Coturnix japonica: one gene and its partner. The protein of the gene in region 1 interacts with the protein of each later gene in a pairwise test. Links are inferred from orthologs where the notes say so. Each region holds a gene or a part of one and is shown in the gene's direction. Other genes may lie near its edges.

Region 1 (4,361 bases):
ATAGGGACCCCACCTTCCCCATCACCCCCAGCCCTTTGGGATGCTGCTACAGAGCTGAGCCCCCTCTGCCCTGTGCCACCCCATTGCATCCCATTGCATCCTGTGCCACCCCATTGCATCCTGCTCCAGTTTGCTCCTGGCCTTGCTAATGAGTGATAATTCAACCTAATGAGCAAGGGAGTCCCCTGGTTGACATCCCAGCAAGGAGGGCAGGTGTTTTGTGCACGGCCTGTGCCTGCAGCCATCCCTTGTGCTGGTATCTGGATGGAGCTGTGATGGAGGGCAGTGATTTGCAGTTTGGGGCCGTACACCACCCAGGGAATGAGAAAGGGAATGGTGGCCACAGTGGTTCCCCAGCATTCGTGTGGGTGTGCGGCTCACCTGGAGGTTCTGCTCTGTATCTTAACTCCCCACGGCTGACACACCTTTGCTTCCGTGCATGAGGGCTGATAAAGCTCCCCACGCTTGGTTGGATGCGGGGTTTTGTGCTGGATCCATTTGGGGACCCACTTGTGGGCACAGCCCTGGGCAGCTCAGTGCACTGTGCAGCTTATAGGGATGCTCCCCCCATTTATGCCATGCCCCCACCCCACTGCCATGCCCCCATCCCTCCCACCTCCATCTCCCCCTGCCACGTGTTCCCAGCCCGGCTGTATTTCCCAAACCAGGAGCAGTGCTCACCTCGGGTGGCAGCAGCCCTAATCTGGGGGCAGTGTTTTCCATAGGATAAGATAACATTAAGGCTCTGACCGCCTTTCCGTGGGGTTTTATTTCCCTCTCTCCTCCCGGCTCACACCTGCGCTTATCGGTGAGCAGGAGGGGTGCGGAGCCCCCGTGTGCCATAGGATGCAATGGGGGGGAGGGGATGACAGTAACCTGGTGAGGGTTTGGGGCACTGTGTGGGGTTTGGTGCAGGGGAGGCTGGTTTTGTACATGAACTGCCCCAGCTGTGCTGCGTTCTTGACGTGTTCAGGGTGGCCATAAATACCAGCTCGGGGTCTGTCTCGGTCAGAACAGCTTTTTCCTGCTTATGCCGGTGCAGACAACCCAGACCTGGAGCACTGTGTGTCCCCACTGCGCCCCACACAGCAGCGATGTGGGGAGGAGAAGGAGCCCCAGCCCTGTGCTGATCCCAAACCATTTGGAGGTGCATCAGGTCCTGGTTTGTCCTGGGGGGCTCAGAGCAGCTCCGCTCCCCCAAAGTGCTGTGGGATGCTGCTGCAGTGCACCCAATGGGGCTCCATGCTTCACAAGAGCCTTCAGCTCCCACCCCACACATCTGCGGGTGTTTGGGTGGGAAGGGGTTGATGGGGGTTCGCTGCCCTATGGGGTCCCACGTGGGGCTGAGCCTGGCACCAAGCTGCACCCCATCAAGGGTTAACCCTGCTTGGGCTGTTCAAACACCTCCAGCTGAGGTAAGCACGCAGCCTGTTTGTTCAGGTAAATAAGGAAGGAATTGGATATAATGGGCTGAGGAGGCATTTGCTGAGCGTGTCCCCGTCTCACGCCTCCTCCATCCCACAGCCACTGCTCCCTGTGCCCCGTCTGTGTCCCCACCCCACACAGTGTCCCCTGGCAGCCCGTGAGCCGGGTGGGTGCTGGGGGCATCATCCCCACTGGGGCCCTGCACCTGGGGCCATGCCCACCCCGAGCACTGTGCTGAGCAGCGCAGGGTCAGCTCTTCCCACCCACTGCTGGGACCGATGCTGCTGCTGAGCCCCGTCAAGGTAAGAGCCACACAACCAGCCCTATGGACCCTCCTGGTGGTTGGGGATGGGTGTAGGGTTGTCTGCCATGGTCACCCCATCTCAGGGCAGCTGTGGGCACAGCCATCCCCTGCTGTGAGCTCCTTGGGGGGGTTATCACCCAAAAACAAGCGTGGTTTGCAAGACCCCAACGTGCTCTATGGAGATGGGGTGATTTGGGTTCACCATCAGAGCTGCTGGGTCCCGTAATGAAGGTGCTGTGTGCTCAGGGGCATCTCAGAACCCTGTCACCGGAGCAGCACCTTCTTAGGGCTGCTGTTTCCCTGGATTTCTGCTGTTTTCTCCCCGAGTGCTGGAGGCACGTTGGCTCCAGGTTGGATTTTTATGGTTCTGCTCGGTTAGTGAAACACAAACGCTGCTCGGCTGCCAAATCCCCCACAATACGGCTGTTCTGGCGGGCAGGGAACTGCCTGCTATAAATAGGGGCTCCCTGGCCCTACATGGGGAACACCAAGCTCCGCTGCTCACCTGGGGGACGCCGAGCACTGGGGCTTTGCTTGGGACACCATTGGGTTGTGCCCGTCCCCACCCCACTGCTCATAGTGCAGGGCTGGGGCAGCCTGACCCCGGCATTGGGACACAGCGCCCAGCTGTCAGCACCAATGCAGGTAATGGGGGGTCAGGGGAGGGGGGTGGCAACTTTGGGACCCCTGGGTGGGCTGTATCCCTGCTGTGCACTGGGTTTGTCTCCGTGTGGGGCTGCAACCCCATAGTGAGACCCTGATCTGTTGCGTTTCTGTATCTGCCCCACATCCCCAGCCTGGCTATGGGGTGTCTCAGGGCATAGTGTAGGGTTTGGGGACTCCCATATTGTGTGTTGTTTGCTGATGGAAGAAACTGGGGACAAACCCCAAATCCCTGATAATAGAAACAGGTTTGGGGGCAGAAAGGACTTTGCTGGGTCCTGTCCTGTCCGAGCTGTCGCTTTGGGGTTGGTGGGTGCAGGGTGTCCTGCTGGCAGTAGGGATGTGTGGGGCGGCTGTGGGTCTCAGTGCCTGGGGGGTGGTTGGGAAGCACCTGCCCGGCACAACCTGTTCCACCGCGGCTTAGCAGTAATTAACGGCCCCATTGTTCGAGGGTCGGGGAGGGGGGGGGGTTATTTCTGTTTAATTTCCCTTGTTTAAAGGCTGTTTGTGGAGGTGTCGCTGCTCCGGGGCACTGCGGTGTCCCCACGGCTCCCATCCCCGTTCCCCACATGGGGCTGACACCAGCACTGATGGGCCGTACCTTATGGCGCTGCCATAGGGACATATAGGACACAGCTCCAGTTTTCTAGGGAAAAACAACAAGGGAGAGAGAAGGGGGAAAAAAGGCACCCGAAGCTGCGAGCAAACAGGTCCCACCCAGGGAAGGCAAACAGCGGCCCCCGCCCTGCGAGCACAGAGCAGCTCAGCGGGTTGCAATGGGGCCACGTTCCCAAACGCCCCGATCCCCCCCGTGCCCATCTTAGGGCTGGCAGAGGGTTGGGGGCCGAGCAGCTGTCGCCGCGTCCCTTTGTGCCGCAGCAGCGTGGGGCTGCATGAAGGAGGATCCGCTAAAGCTCCTCTATTCATCCGCTGCAGATAAAGGGGAGGTTTGGGAGCCTGTGCCATCGCTCAGGGAAACTGATGATGGGGGGGGACCCCACTGCCAGGCTGAGGGGTTGCTGTGCAGCTCAGTGCTGCCCCTTCCCCTCGTCCCCGTTCCCCAGTTCCCTGTCCCAGTGGATGGAGCCGGTCCATGGGGTTGCTGCAGGAATCATTCAGCCTCATCCTCCTGAGCCCGCAGTGAACGGGGACGGAGCAATGGGAGCAGCTTTTGTTGTGGGAGAGTGAAGGGAAAGTTGTGATCCAGGGGTGGCCAAATCCATGTGGCCCAGGAGAGCCGTCCATCAGCTGACGCTCCCCATGCACATCACTGGGCCTGCAGGGTTTGTGCATCACACACACAGGGGCTATAGGGGCTCAGCCCCATCTGGGACCCCCCAGTGCCCCATATCCAGACTCCATCTCCCACCCCAAAACCGGGTCCATCCCCGGCACGACCCCAAGCCAACATTCCTCCGAGGGCTGCCCGGATGCTGTGCGTCTCTTTGTAGGATTTTCCCCCTCTAACAGGCTTAGTTAGCGCTGCTTTGTGCCTGAGCTTCTCCTCCCCCCCTCCCCATCCCAGGTCTGAGCACTGGCAGCATGGGCAGCCCCAGCCCCCCCAGCACCCCGTTCTGCCTGCACTACTTCGACATGCTCTACTCGGAGGACGTCGCATGGGCTGCCAAAGGGATGGGGGAGACGTCCCAGAGCGGCACCCCCGGGGGGAGAGGGGAGGTGAAGAAGGAGCCGGAGCAGTGTCCCATCATCGACAGCCAAGGTTTGGGGCTGGGGGGCGATGGGGAGCTGCAGGGGGGGCTGCCCTTGGAGGAGCACTCGCTGGAGCAGATGCAGAGCATGGTGGTGGGCGAAGTGCTGAAGGACATCGAGACGGCGTGCAAGCTGCTCAACATCGCTGCAGGTGGGTGCAGGCAGAACCCCCCCCCCCAAAAAAAGAGACCCATAAAATACTCCCAAAGCCATCAGATCAACCGCTACAAAGCCTCCAGAAACTCCTCAAAATGAGGAG
Region 2 (4,345 bases), on another chromosome or scaffold:
TACTGGGGTGCTCACACCATGAGCTTGGGCTCAGCACCATTTGGGATGTGGCCCAGGAAAGGGATGGGGGCATCCAAAGCCGTAATGGACAGCAGGATGTGGCACATCCATCCTCACCATCCAGCCCAAGGAAAGGAACTTTTGGTGCTGAGGATTTGGGGACCCCAGTGCCAGGGACGTTTATTTATTAGGACATAATCATGGAGCCCATCCCACCCCATAGGGATGCCCCTGTGGGATGCATAAGGATCAGATGCTGCTTTTCTTGCTAAGGGAACAGGGTCTATGCACACCACTGCGCCTTTGCTTTTCCATGAGCACTCTATTTAAGGCTTTGAGTTCTTCTCGTCTTTTGGGATATTCGTATTTCTTAATGACTTACAGGCACAGCCCAAATTAGAAACTGCCCACCTCAAAATGAGGCAGATCTCTTCCCACAAAACCCAAATCAGTCAAAATGTAATGCAATAAATGGCCATGAGGGGGTCCCCGGAGCTGAAAAACCCCAAACCAATGCTTTTGGACCAATGTTATGGGTTATTCTGCAGTCAGCATTGAAAGGAAAAGAGGACTGAGCCATGCATTGAGGACAGACCTATGGACAGATGAGTTGAGCACACGGGCAGCTCCAACATCACAGAGATTTATGGTCCAGCTGCAGGAAAATGCAATGAGCATCACTGGAATAAAAGGACTTGCTGGAAAGTGGGATATTGCCCAAATTCTGGGTGGTTCCCAGGTTTCATTCATGTGTTTTCAAATGGAAAGATGCATGTTCTGCAATATCACACCATCATGGCATAGAACAACCCATGTTGGAAGGGACCCCAAAGCTCATTGAGTCCAACTCCCTACTTCACCCAGGGCTGCCCTACATCAGAATGCAATATAATAACACATAACCTCATGACACAATATTCTGCAAACCTATTGAGTTTTTGTTCTTGAGCTTTTTGCTCTGTTGTTTGCTTGTTTGGTTGTTTGTTTTAATTACTCTGAGCATTACCATCATTATATTGATTTCACATCAGTATTGCTCTGCAACTCATGGTCTACAACAGTGGGGAATCAGTCTGGGGTTTGGGGTTGATTTCACCCCCACTGGGGTCTGCATTCCCCATTGAGCTCTAGGGATTGCCCTGGATATAAATCACATCCAGAAGTGCAGCATTCAGATCATCATCCCACTGGGATTAGGGTCGAGATGCAAAAGGTGCTCTGCTCACCCACAGCACCCATCCAAAGTGGCACCATCATATCCTAACAACCCTATTTTGACACCTCCCAAACCCTGCTTTTACCCCAAAAAGATGAACACCCTTTGGGTATCTTGCTCTTAGAATTAAGAGGAGAATAAAAGCCATGGGGTTACCCCAGCAGGGTTCAATGGGGATGGGTGTCCTGAGCAAGGCAGCAGAAGGGATTTGCTGTGCTTCAGCAGAAATCCTGCAATGCTGGGACACCAGCAAAGGGTGTAGACACGTCCCAGTCTCCAATCAGGCCCTGGAGGTTTGGCCATGGGCCCAATAAATGCTGAGCTGGAGGGTGGGGAGGCACTGAGCCTGCAGGCAGCTGGAGGAGGAAGAGGATGAGCACTGGGGTGCTGAGCCCTGGGGGGCACAGAGCCTCCAGCAGCCCCCAGCAGACCTCGTCCAGACCTCGGACGTCCTTCCTCATCCAGGACATCCTATGGGATGGGGTTGAAAATGGGGCACAGATGGATCAAGGTGGGATACCAGAGGATGGAGAGCAGCAGGATGGCCCTGGAGTGTCCCCAGCACAGCCCCACGATGTGAATGAAGGTAAGGGGGGGGTGTTGTGGGATACTTACCCTTAGAGCAGGATGAGGGTTCAGCTTTGAATTCCTCTGACCTAAACAACCCATGCATTCCCAAGTTACTCAGGCTTCAAATGCAAGGAGCATTGAGAGCAACAGCAACTGCATGCAAAGCATTCTGCAGGCAATTCAGCTAACTCAAAGCACAGGAGCAACCTCCAACTTTGGTTATTAAAAAGCCTAGAGGATGCATTTCTGCAATAGCAAGCTTAAGATTCCTTTTAATGCAAATGCAACCCTTGGTGCAGCTGTTGGGTGCTGCTGCTGCTGTACTTACAGTGCATTGATTGCAGCTCACTGTTGCACTTGCTGCTTGTTTTCCTGCATGCTCAGCACCAGCTGCAATGCTTTGCTCCTGCCTGTTGCACTGCAGACTATGTGTATATGCTGGTTCTCAGCACCAGTTGCAACGCTCTGCTCCTACCTATTGCATTGCATATAATGCGTGTTATGCACATCAGCCTTACTCCTATAGAAACAACCCCAGCAGCACCTCCTTTTAGCATGCAGTGGCTAAACCTGCAGAAGCAGCGTGCTGCAAATCGCATGCAATTGCATTAAAACTCAGATGCAGTGCAGCTTTGAGCTGTGCAATGGGAGCAGCTGAGCTGCAACATCCAATAAGCAAAGCTGAGCTTGCTAAGAGAGACCTTGCAAGGGGAATCTGGGCTCTCTGTGTCGCTTCTGTTAATAGAAGCTCCTATATAAAAGTGAATAAAGGGCTGGAGAGGTTTGCACAGCTTACAGGTGATGCTGTAAAAATCCCAATGGCACCTTGTATGCAACAGCAGAGCCTCGAGATGTCACCAGCAATGAAAAATGGCCCTTTTGGGGGTTGCTTTTTCCTTGTAGGAGCTAAAAGAGGGGGTTGTTTGGGAGAAAATAGCTCCCTTGGATGAGATTAAGTCTATCAAGCAGAGAAATCACTGTGTTGGAGGATCTCCAGGGTGGTGGGGAGGTTTTGCTCTATAGGAAGGGGTAGGAAAGGGGAAAAATAAGTAGGGAAATCAGAGGTTTGGGTGATGGGAAAATGAGAAAACAAGTGATTGGGGCGATGAAAACAGAGGAAATAAGTGATGTGGGTGATGAAAAGCAAGGAGAAAACGTGATTTGTGAATATTTTGCTCTGTGGAAGTGAATGGAAAAGGAGAAATGTGAGTAATGACAGAACAAGTGACTTGGGTGATGAAAATGGAGGAAACAAATGATTTGGGTGAGCAAAAGTAAGGAGATAAGGGGTCTGGGCAACTAGAAAGCAAGGAGGAAAGTGGCTTCTGAATGCTTCACTCTATGGAGAGGATAAGAAAGAAAGAAGTGAGGAAATAGGCAGTCTGGATGGTGAAAATACTGAGAGAAAAAGTGATTTGGGTGATGAAAACCCAAATAACCCAGAGTTTGGGGCAGTTCTCAGTGTGTGATGCTCAGCCCTCTCCCCTTACAGATGCTGATAACTCCCCATGCAGCCATGATCCACCCCAGAAGGTGCTGCCCAGACCCCCCCGGCCAGCAAAGCGCTCACGGGCAGCCTTCACCCACAGCCAAGTGTTGGAGCTGGAGAGGAACTTCAGCCGCCAGAAGTACCTGTCAGCCCCTGAACGTGCCCACCTGGCCCAGAACCTGCAGCTGAGTGAGACACAGGTGAAGATCTGGTTCCAGAACCGCCGCTACAAGACCAAGAGGAGAGCGGGGGGCTCCAGCCTGGAGGTTGGGACCACTCATAAAGCATCTATTCTACCCCCAGCCCCACTGCTGGCACTACATGGGGCTGCTCGCTGCCTGCCCTGCCTCTGTTACTGGAGCCCTGCTGTGTGGTGAGAGCTGTGCATGGTGTGTTTTTTAGCCCACCCCCCTCATGCCATGGTGCCCTTGGCCATGTTGATTCAGAGATGTCGACTTCGAGTGTCCTCTTGTGCAGTTCCAGCCTCTGTCATCGTGAGAGTTTTAGCCAAAGAAATCAGAAATGATCAAAAATTAAAGATCCAGATTATAATTATTATTACTATTATTATTGCTATTATTATTATTACTATTATCAATAATAAATCCCCGAAGCTTTTACTAGGCTCAATCTGCAGCAAAGAATCCCAGGCGATGCTCAGCACCCTCTCATTGCATCACCACCCTTTCTCAGTGCCAGGCTTTTAGCCAGAGAAACAAAAAGCCCTACAAACTAAACATCCTCAAAGCTTCTAACAGTGATCAAACAGGGCACTGTTTTGGGGGCAGAAAGCAAGATATGATGAGTGCCTGTAAAAACACAGTCCCCCATCCATCCCTCTGCTTATACCCCCAATTCTTTGCCCCCCATCACTGATTGGGTGAAGCACAACAGCTCACCCCATACACCAGCTGTTTCATCTCAAAAAATATCTGCATTTCCACCTGCAATCCATCAATTGCAAATCTCCCCCAAGGATTCCATATGTGTTGGGTTTAGGGGGCATTCAGCCCCACATTGCTGCAAGCAACAAAGGCCCACAGGTTCCCAGTGGGCACAGAGCTGCTGTT

Evidence for each region.
Region 2: the proteins of SPDEF (region 1) and NKX3-1 interact in a two-hybrid assay, tested with the Homo sapiens proteins (2 studies listed by BioGRID). The link is inferred for Coturnix japonica from reciprocal best matches to the Homo sapiens genes SPDEF and NKX3-1.

What each region holds. Positions count from the first base shown.
Region 1 is NC_029541.1:4,214,121-4,218,481, forward strand, and holds the start of SPDEF (SAM pointed domain-containing Ets transcription factor), read left to right. Parts: upstream 1-1,338; 5' UTR 1,339-1,727; intron 1,728-3,917; 5' UTR 3,918-3,934; coding exon 3,935-4,253; intron 4,254-4,361. UniProt on the Homo sapiens protein: May function as an androgen-independent transactivator of the prostate-specific antigen (PSA) promoter. Binds to 5'-GGAT-3' DNA sequences. May play a role in the regulation of the prostate gland and/or prostate cancer development.
Region 2 is NC_029537.1:2,308,694-2,313,038, forward strand, and holds the start of NKX3-1 (homeobox protein Nkx-3.1), read left to right. Parts: upstream 1-1,447; 5' UTR 1,448-1,588; coding exon 1,589-1,802; intron 1,803-3,278; coding exon 3,279-3,652; 3' UTR 3,653-4,345. Other genes in the region: NKX2-6 (homeobox protein Nkx-2.6), read left to right, coding at 1-22.